2 linked regions of the Drosophila melanogaster genome follow. The protein of the gene in region 1 interacts with the protein of each later gene in a pairwise test. Each region holds a gene or a part of one and is shown on either strand. Other genes may lie near its edges.

What was found.
Region 2: the proteins of CG14110 (region 1) and CG44002 interact in a two-hybrid assay, tested with the Drosophila melanogaster proteins (one large-scale study listed by BioGRID).

Annotation. Positions count from the first base shown.
Region 1 is NT_037436.4:13,381,942-13,388,362, reverse strand, and holds CG14110 (uncharacterized protein), read right to left. Parts: upstream 3,575-6,421; 5' UTR 3,553-3,574; coding exon 3,489-3,552; intron 3,437-3,488; coding exon 2,454-3,436; 3' UTR 2,438-2,453; downstream 1-2,437. Other genes in the region: CG10171 (uncharacterized protein), read left to right, coding at 589-697, 753-1,648; ImpL1 (Ecdysone-inducible gene L1), read right to left, coding at 4,458-5,558.
Region 2 is NT_033779.5:3,167,448-3,174,429, forward strand, and holds CG44002 (uncharacterized protein), read right to left. Parts: upstream 3,646-6,982; 5' UTR 3,505-3,645; coding exon 2,467-3,504; 3' UTR 2,373-2,466; downstream 1-2,372. Other genes in the region: Hydr2 (alpha/beta hydrolase2), read left to right, coding at 1-111, 177-526, 588-754; CG31698 (uncharacterized protein), read right to left, coding at 5,856-5,965, 6,033-6,378; CG15404 (uncharacterized protein), read left to right, coding at 6,545-6,791, 6,857-6,978.

The DNA.
Region 1 (6,421 bases):
GAAATTATTAAATATATCTGCTCCACTGTATGACGCATTTTATAAAAAGCAATTGAACAATTTTAGATCCATCACTATGAATTTTATTTTGCAATTTAAAATTAAAATGATTGCTGTAAATACCCTTTTTCGTTTAAATATATTTATTTTTATAAAATATTCAAAGGGGTTCCGATGGCTCATACCCCTAAAAAGAAAATGGTAAAGATCTTACTCTCTAAATATGTTTATTTAATAACAATCGTGTTCAAATTAACTTTATTTGGATATTTTGAATTCATTTAAATGCCTAAACAAGATTTTAAATACTGAGAGCACACTCGAATTTATAATATATATAAGAATAAAAGTAATAAACAATTTTTACATAGAAACAAAATTATTTTTCAAAATAATTTATTTAAAATTGAATCTTCATTTAAAAACGGAATGGGTTGAGTCTTCGTTGAACTAAAAGCCAGGTTGCCATACATTTGACACATTAACATTTGGTATTTTCAAACACTAGTCAACGGCATCACTGGCTCATATAAATAAACAAAACCCGCCGGAGAAAGTGGCGATAAACAGCGCCCATAAAACGTCAAGATGCGTGACTGGATGCCAGTGCTCTTCTGCGGACTGTCCGTGCCGATCTCGCTGTTCATGTGGCTGGGCAATGTGGCGCTGTCCAAGTTCTGGAGCAGTGACTTTGAGGGTGAGCTATATGGATTCCAGTGCGAACGTTACCTGGGGTCAACTAATGCCAAAAGGTTATCCGACAGAGTCCCGGGTGATTCCGCCGGTGCGCTGGCTCTTCTCCACACTGGCGCCCTTGGCCCTGATGACTGTGGCTCTGCGCCGGAGGAGCGTCAACCGATCTGGAGCTGCGCTGGGCATTCTGGTGGCCTTCATTCTCTCCATCGCCAGCCATCCGTTCTTCGCCAGCTTGGTGGTGTTCTTCTTCAGCTCATCGCGGGCCACCAAGTTCCGCGCGCACATGAAACGCCGTTTCGAGAGCGATTTTCGCGAGGGCGAAGGCCAACGAAACTGGATACAGGTACTCTGCAACGGAGGCATGGCCGCCCAGCTTGCATTGCTTTATCTGCTGGACTGCGGTAGTGGCGAGCGGGCGGTGGACTTCGCACGAGAATACCGATCCAGCTGGCTGGGTGTGGCCGTTATGAGTGCGTTTGCCTGTTGCAATGGCGACACCTGGTCCAGTGAACTAGGATCCGTGCTGTCGCAACGCGATCCAGTTTCTATCATCACCTGGCGCAGAGTGCCGCGCGGTACCAATGGTGGGGTTTCGTTGCTCGGCGTCGCGGTGAGTCTGCTCGGCGGTCTGCTCGTCGGCTTTGGCTATTTCGTCACCGTTCGTTACACGGTTGAGGCCAAAATGCTTCTGATTAGCCCACCACAATGGCCAATCATCGCCTTCGGTGGCATCGCTGGACTTTTTGGGTCCCTTTTGGACTCTGTCCTAGGTGGTCTGCTGCAGTTCTCGGGCATCAATGAGGAAGGCAAGATTGTGGATACACCTGGAAAGGGAGTGCGCCACGTAAGCGGACTGCGCATCCTGGACAACCATAGTGTCAACCTGATTTCCAGCATCGTCACCGGCGTCACCATTCCTCTCCTGGCCCAGAGATTCTGGCCCGTGCGCTAATGCTGTTTTGGATTAGGATTAGCTGCATTCAATAGCTAAAAATGTCAAAGGCTGCCTCACAAGATTGAATTCCGTGTTAAACATAAACCCATCCTCATAAAGCCTTTTAGACAGGTATATATGTACAATTGTTAACCATTTATAATTTCATAACGCCGGTGAAATACCCTCCATAGATATATTTTTATGAAGCTTACATATCGCCTAGCGAACTAACCAACCTATGAGACTCGATGAAAACAACGATTGGGCACCGAATAGCCAAGGCAGTTAGATTATATTTACTCTAAGGTAGCTAACCATGTTCCTTTACGGATTATGACGTTGTTGTTACTGTGACTGTTCACCTCCATTTTGTGTATTAACTCTACTAAACACGAACCGTACATGTGGATCTATTGTCATTGTCTCGAAATTCTCGTACGTGACGGAATACATTTTCTGATTTGGTTATGTATATTCTTATGGCGTCATCTCAAGTTGTTTTCAACAATTTGGAGATCAATGATTGGTTCCCGCTGGAATAATTTTAGCAGACCTCGCTCCAAATCGAATGTTTTGCTTATTGCACAAGCAATTGCTGTTGTGGTGATTAAAATATTCATGAAATTTCTATAACACAATTCGAAATTTTTGAATTTGAGGTAATAGAATAGAATTAAGTTCTTCAACTGAGGGTTTTAAAAATATCTTTTGTTCGAAATATAGCTACTACTCATAAAGTCTTCGAATCCATTGTTGTTAGTACATTAAAACATGAATCCAATTGAAAACCCGTGGTTTTGTTTTCGTTAATAATGTATATCTAATATTTTTGCACTTTATTGGCTCTTCTTAGTTTTTGAAGTTCAAAATTTCGAATTAAGTTTTGCGAAAGAGCACGTAAAGCCTCACTGGACGAACTATGTGAACCCGCAGTGCTGGTAGCTCCACCCGGAGTGGTTGGCTTGGCAAATCCGATTGAGAACTTGATCATTAGGTCGCCAATTGGCGAGTTGACGAATTGCGAGCCCGTTGAGATGGTCTTGAAGATGATGCGACGCTTGTGCTGGTAAACCTGCGGGTCACTTGGCAGGCTGTTTCCCGGCTGAGGATTTGCCTTGGGTTTGGTGCTGGAACCAATCTTGGGCCGTGGAGTGCTGGTGGTCACATTTGGTGATTGCTCTGTGGTGCTGGTTTGGTTCAATGGACTTTCCGAGATCCTGGGCTGAGCAGTGGTTCTTGTCCTGGTGGTTCGTGGCTGAAAAGTGGTTGTGCTGCGTCGTCTGTACGGTTTGCGAGTGGTGGTGGTTGGAAGGCTCAACGAAGGTGCCTGGTAGCCTGGGTCCTCATCCTCGGGAGCATCTGACACGGCGTCCGGTTTCTCGGGGTCCGACGGATAACCCTGATCCGTCTGATCCTCCTCGTCCTCGTAGTCATCCTGTAGATCACCATCTCGATCTCCGCCGGAGAAGTACGGTGGCTGGTGTGGTGGTTTCTGATCGCGACGATCCTGCTTCTCGCGGTGCTGCTCGTAGACAGGGTCATTGGGAGCCGATGAGGCCAACACTTGTTCCATCTGCTTTTGAAGGATCTCGTAGAGCGGCGTATTCTGCACATCCTCTAGGACTTCTGCAGGTTCGCTTGGCACAAACTGATTGTTGATATAGGCATTACGTCCATCCAGGTCTTCTTCTAGTTCCAGCTCTTCATCTTTACGGGAACGAGACTCCGTTTGCAGCTTCTCGGCTGGGGGTTGGGTCACTCCTTCGGTTACCTCGACAGGAGCAGCTTGAATGGTGAGAACAACTAGGAGAGGAAAACTAAATACCACAAGCTACAACTTTTAGAATATTCTCACCTGCACTCAGCAGAATCAGTAGCTGAATCTTCCAGACTGGAACTCCGACACTAGTGGCTCCCATTGCAGTTGGTCAACTTCTGTGACAAGTGACACAAATCCCGCTGCTTTTATAGGCAACCCAGCCGCAACCTGTTGCATTGTCCATCCCACGCCCAATTAGTTTTTAGGTTTAGTGCCTGGCAATGGATGATGGCCCTTTCAAGCTTCAGATATCAATCAGTTTATAGAACTTGTTTTGGGGGTCAATGCACTTGATTCAATGCAACTGCATCGCCTTAGAATTCTTCTCAATTTAATTACAAAGAGGTGAATTTGCCTCTAAGAAAGTTTTGAAAATTATCTGATTGAAAGATATATATGTAAAGTTGAAGTTGTTATACCCGTTACTTTAACACACAAAGTTCTTTAGAGGCCATAAAGAATTATCAAGAATGAGTTCGTTAAGAATCATAGGTGTATTCATTCCCATTACAAATTTTGCACACACCTTTCCCCTTGCTACTAAATCTGCTTCGAGTTATACTAGTTTGTCACAGAAATGTTGGATCCCGATTAATGTCTTTCCAAAGATATAGCTATGTAAATGTACAATGCACCTATTTCAGTAATTAAATGCTCAAGGGATCTGAAAAATAGTGTAACTGGTCTGGAGTCATAAGAACTAAGAAGACACTCTTACTGACTTTGGGAAAATAAAAGTGCGTTTCGATCCCATATAAAATATCTACATAAAAGTGCTAAGCAGATCTTATGATTTTTATTTTTATGACAATATAAAAGTCGGGTTACCATTAAAGTTAGCCATAAAAATTGTAGTCCAATACACGTTTAAACTACAAAGCGTGTATTTAAAAAAAACCCATTTTGTTTATCAAATATAGATGATTATCGTTGTTTAGAATTTTATTTGTTGTAATAAATTAAATAAATACTATAATTAGGTGAGATTTGTGTAGCCATTGCTTTCTAAGCTACTTGGTACTTGAGCCTATCAATGTCCTTGCCCTTGGGTTGGGTCTGCTGGTGAAGGGGCGCGATCTCCAGAGGTTTGGGCGTGGGAGTGTCCTTCAGTGGCATAGGCGGCATAGCGATGTCCTCGGTCGTCTTTGCAGGCTCCAAAACTGAAACTGGTTTTGGAACTGCTACTTGAATAGGAACTGGCACTGGCTTCTGGGTGGATTCCACTTTCTTCTGTGGCATTAGGGAAAGGGGATCCTTCTGCTTGTTTTCCTTTTGGTCATCCTTCTCCTCGCTGCTTTCGCTGCTGTCCTTCTCGTTCTTATTTTTCTCAGCCTTCTCCTTCTTCTTTTGCTCCTTCTCCAGCTTGTGTTGTTCCTCCTCCTGCTTACGCTTCTCCTCCTCCAGCTTCAATTGCTCCACGATGGCCGCATCCCGGAAATAAGGCGATGACCGGAACTTCTTGTCGGCATAGGCAGTTTCCTGCGGATATTTCGCCTGGCACTCGGCATAGGCGAAGTCCGTCCAAAGACCGTGGGATCGGCACTTGGCTACACCCAACTTGCACTTGTTGTAGAAAACGGCCACCTCTGAGGTGGTCCTGCCGCAGATGGGCTCGTACAGTTCATCGCAATCATCGTCGCACAGATAGCCCTCGCTCAAGGACTGCGCGGCACTGTTGATAGCCGCGGAATTGGAAGACTGGCAATTCTTCTGGCCCGACTCACAGCTGAACCAGGCGATGGGAATGGCCAAATAGGGGGGACTTAGACGCTTCTGTGCGGCTCCAATCTCACCGGGAGCCGCAAAGGTGCGCTTTACATAGTAGCCGTGCTCTTCGGTGGAAATTGGAGTGTTTCCAGCCAAATCCGTGGAGCTAGACCACTTGGTCTTTGTCTTGGTCTTGTGGGGATCAGACTTTTCATAGTGATGATCGGAGCCCTTGTGCTTGCGCCGCTTTGCATCCGCGGGAATCGCCTCCAAAAGCAGCAGAGCTGCTACTGCTAAAAAGGAAATGGGCGCATACCAGTTAATTATGGGACTTCCAGAACTGGTCAGCTTCGATATGCGAGACTTACCTACGATGCAAACTACTTGGTATGGCCTCATGTTGATCTGGTCAGCTGCTCGACTCCACAACAACTGATCGCATCTTCTGGCGAGCGGTGCTTAAGTACCAGTCTTAGCCACTCGGCGGGGAATTCTTTAGGGGCTTACCGGTTTTCTTCCCACTGCAGCTCTTTCAAAGAGTTCCACATCTTCTCGAGATTTGTTTACACTTCGCGATGTCTCGAGGTCCGAACGAAAGTACGCCAACTTTTTGGTACTCATACTATATTATATTTGGTGAAATTTTATGCAAACTGATGTGGCTGTGGTCGTACCCTTCCCAGCGATAGCCATCTAGAATGTCTCGGATCTGGAACTGGTTGTGTGTGTGTGTGTTTTTTTAACACCTTCGATGCCCTCCATTCGACGCCCAGCCTCCCAAGCTCGGCCGCTTCTCGAGCCGGTTCTCTGAAATTGGGTCAATCTGGAAAGGTTCGGTGATCTGGTTGTTATTTTATGAGGTTCTTCTGACCGCGATCGCCGGCAGCTGCACTCGCTCGCAGGAAATCCACGTCCAATCAAGCGTTGTCATTCTGTTATTCCGCCGATCTCTGTTGATCTTTGATCTGCGCAATTGATCACCTCCATGGATGGCGATTGTGATCTTAATTAGATCGGGCTCAACTGAAATGTGCCTCAGTGATCTGTTTCGCTGACCGTCAGACTGACATATGAAAAGTATATATTAGTTTGCAGCATACATACATTCTCTCGTGTACTTATGATCACCGCTCTCTAATGATCATGTATTCCTTATGATCAGTTAATCAACCATTCATAATTGCATTTGTTATTACCACCATCAGTTTGATGACTCATCCAGCTCGTGATCACTTCTTGTTTATTTTATATACGTAGTTCCA
Region 2 (6,982 bases), on another chromosome or scaffold:
TTTCAGTCTGGGCGGCAATCTGGTCACCAAGTACATGGGCGAGGACCAGAAGACAAAGCCAGACAAGGTCATTGGAGGCATATCCATATGTCAAGGCTACAATGCCGTCGAGTGAGTTGCTATTCAAACTATTAATATAGGAAATCAGAGCTAAATACTTAATAATTATATTGCAGAGGCACCAAGTGGCTGCTCAACTGGCAGAATTTCCGCCGCTTTTACCTATACATCATGACTGAGAACGTAAAGAGCATTATCCTGCGACATCGACATATCCTCCTGTCCGACGAGGTCAAGGCTCGGCATAATCTCAACGAGCGCGAAATCATCGCGGCTGCCACTCTGCCCGAGTTGGATGAGGCTTACACGCGGAGAGTGTACAACTTTCCCTCCACCCAGGAGTTGTACAAGTGGAGCTCGTCGCTGTTTTACTTCGATACGATCAAGAAGCCAATGATCTTCATCAACGCCAAGGATGATCCCTTGATCCCGGAGGATTTGCTGCATCCCATCAAGGAGTATGCCAGTAAGTAGAAAGTTCTTTGCTTGCTATCACGTTGCTTATTGCTTAATCTTTCTCCCCTCAGCGACGCGTCAAAACACCGCCTATGTGGAGGTGGCCCATGGCGGTCATCTGGGCTTCTATGAGGGCGGCTTCCTGTACCCGAACCCTGTCACTTGGCTGGACCGTACGCTTGTGGCGATGGTTGGGTCCTTGGTCATGATGCACGAAGTCGGCAAGGTGGCCCCTTAGGCCTGGTTGCTATTTTCACACGCATACACGACTATTTAACGCTTCTGTGTCAAAATTGGTTGTCGCTGTCGAATATAAATCTTTGAAGAACCATCGGAACGGAAGAGAGCCCGAAAGACCCCATACATATAGTTCTAACATATGATATCGTTGTGCAGCAATTATAAATTATCAGCCGCGCAAGCATAAATTGATGTATACTTTTGCAAAGTGCATTTAAAACAGAAATTGTAGTTTTTTGAGAACGATTTTTATGCTTTTTAATGACTTTTTGAAGAGCCAAACATACAATGTATCAGTTGAACTCGTACCTTAGTTAGTTAACGCGACCACATGTATCCATGTACTTATGTCTAAGCAAATTCCTATTTATTAGCATTTTCCTTTGTGATCTAACAGTTTTTAATTACGTACATTTTTATATGTGAAATGTACACCACACGCCGCACACAATATACGATGTATGACAGTAATTATAAATTATAAGTCCTCGACCGCACCACAAGCATATAAAATAGCAAGAATATTGCCTTAGTGTAGACCTCGTTTTGTATGTGTGAATATGATTTGAACTATTCATTTTGTACTATGATGCATTTCACGGAAATCAAAGAGAAACCAAATGAAAGTTTGCCCAACGTCGGCTTCATTTTTGTATACTTTTTCTGAACTTTACCAAGTTGATAGTCAGATTTGTTTACCAATGTAGTGGAGTGGAGAATATTTATAAATGTATTTGTAAATGTATTTATAAATGTATATTGAAACAAATAAATAACAGTTGGACAAAAATATTCCCTTTATTTCACTTTTGATTTTTCCATATTTCAAATTTCGCTGTTAAATCGGTTACAGTTTCTCTACACCTAAGCTAACACTGGATTTGACATCACTAGTTGCAAGAAATGTACACCACACGCCGCACACAATATACGATGTATGACAGTAATTATAAATTATAAGTCCTCGACCGCACCACAAGCATATAAAATAGCAAGAATATTGCCTTAGTGTAGACCTCGTTTTGTATGTGTGAATATGATTTGAACTATTCATTTTGTACTATGATGCATTTCACGGAAATCAAAGAGAAACCAAATGAAAGTTTGCCCAACGTCGGCTTCATTTTTGTATACTTTTTCTGAACTTTACCAAGTTGATAGTCAGATTTGTTTACCAATGTAGTGGAGTGGAGAATATTTATAAATGTATTTGTAAATGTATTTATAAATGTATAATGAAACAAATAAATAACAGTTGGACAAAAATATTCCCTTTATTTCACTTTTGATTTTTCCATATTTCAAATTTCGCTGTTAAATCGGTTACAGTTTCTCTACACCTAAGCTAACACTGGATTTGACATCACTAGTTGCAAGAGCAGTCGTGGCCGAGCGGTTAAGGCGTCTGACTAGAAATCAGATTCCCTCTGGGAGCGTAGGTTCGAATCCTACCGACTGCGATGACAAGAGTTACTTTTTTGTTTTTAACTTTTTGCCCAAAAGAACAATTTTAAGGTTATTAATTTGATCCTTTTTCATAATGTTTCAAAGAATGTTGTGCTAGATTTGTGTGTTTGCTTTCATATAAATATTCTATTGGAATATTAAGATTTTTTAAATATATCCCAGATGGTATTCATTTTTATTGAGCGTTTTATACTTATACCTAAAAAAAATAATTAATTTTTAAATGTTTAAACTAAATGAAGCTTAAGATATAGCCGCGTTCTCGACCTTGTCCGTATGGCAAAGCTTTACATGCCTACGCAGACCTTTTGGTTGGCGGAAACGCCGCTCGCATTGGGAACACTTGAATCGCTTTTCTGCGGTGTGGCTCATCATGTGCTTCCGAGCATCTGACCGCTCCCGGAAGAACTTATCGCACATATCGCACTTGTACGGTCTTTCTCCTGTGTGAATTCGAATGTGCTGCCTTAGAGCAGATCCATCCGAGAAGGCCGACTGGCAGGTAAGGCACTTGAATGGTCTTTCTCCCGTGTGAGTCCTTAGATGTCTTTTGACGGAAGCAAGATCCGCAAATGGCTTTTGGCAAATTTCGCAGGCGAAGGGTTTTTCCCCCGTGTGGGTCTTTTGGTGGCGGACACAGCTTGCTTTGCTGCAGAAGGTCTTGTTACAAAGGCGGCAGGTGTGCGTAGAATTCCTTGAAAGCTGTCTGGCTTTCGTCCTCAACTCTTCTTTGACCGCGTGCTCGCTGGTGGAGGACATTGGACGGGGTCCGTCCGTTGTGTGGTGTCGCAGGATGTGTAGCTCTAGGAGACCAGGTCTCCGAAAGGACATGTGACACTGTGTGCAGATGTGACCCTTATCCTCGGAAACATTGTCGGATTGAGCAGTTTTAGATTCTTCCTGGGTGCTGACTTCATTCGTAGGTGCCTTGTTTTCACTCAAATGAACTTTCTCCTCTTGTTCATCGATGAGTATTACCTCGTCGGAGTCTGATAGCTCGATGATTACATCCTCCGAGAGTTCTTCCTCGAGAACCGTGTCCTGCACTTCATAGAAGACCTGGTAGCTGCGTTCGTAGGTTTTTATGATCGTAAACGCATTGTGGGCATCCTTCACACATGGTGGGCATATTGAGTGCGGTAATGAGTCCCCTTTTTCAACTTTGAAGCCGGTGCATTCAATTATCATATGGGCTATTGAAACTGGAAGATCCTGCCTTTCCTCGAAAATGTTCACCATGTTTTTTGAGCTTGCCAGGCAAACTCGACACTTGTTCTCCATTACCCTGTATTTTAATAAACCTTGGCCGCCTATACAAATCGATCAAAGGTAATTACAAATAAATATGTAGTGGTATTTTAAATATTTTCAAATTAAATGAGACGGTTTATTTATTATAGGGAATAGTTTGTTTACCATTTTGGCATAGCATTCAGTTTGCTAGTGGAATGATCACCCTGTTCCCACAACAGTGGGCTGTTAGGCGCAAAAGAATATGTATGTTACGTTACCGAACTGTTATCGAGCTTGAAAACGTTTCTTGAATGAAAAATAACAAAATTATAATAAATACGTATTTGGTACGTATTTGGCTAAGATAAGATTACATTTTTAACGCCTTGCCGTAATTCTTAGCATGCCTTCGAAGAAGAATCATATTCTTAAGGACTAAACCGCAACCCTCACACTTCACGTAAAAGGTCCTTTTGCCAAAGACACTAGAATTATTCTAGTATCTTTGCTTTTGCCTTGTGTACCAGTCCGGGCTGGTGGAGGTCGGATGACGTCGAGAAACGGGACTGGCAGTCAGGACGAACCCTATCCACAAACCGCTTGTCGCACCGATCACACTGGAAAGGTAGTTCATTCGATGGTTCATGCAATGGGGCTCGATAAGTTCGTAAAGGCCGATTTTCATATTGAGCATTTGAAGGGACGTTCCCTGGTGTGGGTCCTTAAATGCTTGACGAGGTTACAGCGTAGCGTGAAGTCTTTACCGCAGTGATCACACTTAAATGGCCGCTCGCCCGTGTGACTCATGGTGTGGCGGTCCAGGTGGCTTTTCAATCGGAAGGAACTCAGACAGGAAGGGCAGTCGAAGGGTCGAATGTCGGAGTGTGTCTTCTTGCGCTGGCGCAGGTTACTTTTGTCAGCAAAAGTCTTGGCACAGATGTCGCACGGGTAAGGTCGTTCTTCCAAATGCAGGGCGCTGTGCCTTTTAAGAAAGGATTTCAGTCGGAAGGTCATCGGGCAGCTGGGGCATTTGAATGGTCGTTCTCCCGTGTGGACGCGGTTGTGCTCCTCGAACCTGGATCGATGTGGAAAGGACTTACTGCAGTGGGAGCACTTGTAGGCCATCCGAGCACCGCTCCGAACACATTCACTGCCGTCCAAAGCCAATTTCGGTGTCAGTCTCACCTTGCTGATGATCAGGTGCAACACTTTCATTTCGGGGGGCGTCCTGGACATCCTTGTCCAATGTACCACTTTCTTTGGGTTCCTTTTCATCATGTTGCTGATTCTTCGAATGAACACTATCGTCGACGCTATTATTGAAGTCTTCTCCCTTTGCATCTACGGTTTGATCACATTCATCTTCTGATATCTCATAGATTTCATCGGCATTTATGTACTTTTGGTTTCCATTGGTATCGTGCGACGACGTCCCACTGTCGCTGTCCGATATTGTGTACACCTCTCCTTCTAGGGAATCCTCTTCAAGTACCGCTTCGTATGCCTCACAAAAGGTGATGTAGCTGCGCTCGTATTTTCTGATGATATCGAATGCACTCTGGGCATCCTCCAAACAGGATGCACAAATTAACTCCGACAGATCGTCCCCTTCTTTAATGTCACAGTCCGTGCATTCAGAGATCACTTGTGCTATTGAAACCAGCAGGTCTTGTTTTGCCTCGAAAATGTTTACCACGTTTTCACTGACCCCAAGGCAGACTCGGCATCTGTCTTTGAGTGCGCTAAAATGACGAGATGGGACTTTAGGACACGCACATTTACAAAAGCAGATACTTACGCTCTCATTTCTCCTACAAATTTTTATTTTCAAAATAAGATATAGGTCCTTTTTTCCTTCGATAAAAATACATCAGATGTTTTATAATCGGTTATCGATGACATACGACTGCACGCGCAACAGTGAAATGTAAGGGGAATAGGGTGTTCTGTGTACGTAGAGAGTGAAAAACTAATCGAGTTGTAAACAAACAGCACACATGTATCTATTATTATTATAATAATTTAACCAGTTTCTGAGAGGAAAAAATAGAGAATAGAATAGAGAATGTTGAAAAATAAAGAAAATCCGTAAACCTTCTCGCAGTCGGTAGGATTCGAACCTACGCTCCCAGAGGGAATCTGATTTCTAGTCAGACGCCTTAACCGCTCGGCCACGACTGCTGTTGGTATGACTCGGCAAATTGGCAACTAATGTTGATTGCATGGGAGAATCCAAGACTGAACACACATTTCGGAACCTTGCTCATTTGACAACACTGCATGTGTGTGTTACTTGAATTTGAGCGCCAAGTTGAATGTGACACACAAATCCCTTTACTTGCTTCCTTTTATTCGAATACAAGGGATTTAATTTTTTTTAATACCCTTTATTGACCGCATTAAAATTTACAAAACCGTTTAGGACAATACTCACGACAGCAACAATTGATGCCGCATTTGTAATTCATGCCCTCGCATTTCTGCTTGCCCCACGAAAATGAAAGAAGACCTAACCACATGGAAAAATAAGTTATATAAGTAAGCAAACGAACTCATAAAATTATACAAATACTCACGGGCATATCCAGCTGCCTGGCGAGCTTCATTTTCCTTTATCAGTTCACAATCTGACTTGCATACGAAGTAGAAGGCTACGCCTTTGCCACAATGTGAGTCCAGGATGCAACGATTCACGGGTTTGCTGTCGCAGGGACCGGGATTTTGACAACTTGGACCATTGTAGACGCAATGGGCACCGCAGCAGGCGTTATCCCGAGGTGGAAGTTTGGGCTCCTTATAGCCATTACCATTGCACTTGTTCAGGCCAATGAACGGATGGCAGGACCCCTGGTTGCAGCCCGATATTACGGCCATTAGACAAGCCAGCAGTTGGAAAATCAGCAGAACTCGTATTGCTCTCATGTTGGTTAATAGGTCACTCAAATGATCAACCAAAAAGCAGACTGCTTTTATACCCACATATCGCCATATATTTACACAATTGCTAAAGCAAAAATAGACCTCCTTAACCTGAGATAGACTATAAAAGTCTCGACCCTCCTGGCACTTTATCTGAGAAGTCTTCGAAATGGTTGCCAAGATTCTGCTGAGCCTGCTGCTCCTCGCTGTTGTCACCGATCTGGTCTCAGCCCAGTGCTCCCAAAACCTGTGCCCAGTGGTCACGAACTCGAATCCCCGGTGCAAGGGAAAACTTCAGTATCAATGCGTTTGCGACTACACCTGCTCCGAGTGGGACAAGCCCTGCAACTGGGTACTTACATGTCCTGAAGAAATCGACGACATCAATGAAGTGCGCGACAAGAGAAATAAGCTAAGTAAGTTCGGACACTCATATCCTTGATGAAATTCACAATCCATTCACAATCACACTTTCTTGCAGATTTGTTCAGATTGCCCAATCGAAACCGCCTGGAGTGCCTGGACATCAATGTCTACACCATTACGCGTCCGAATTGCTGCGACTTGTTCTGCAAGTCTAAGCTTAAAGATGTCTGTTTCTAAATAA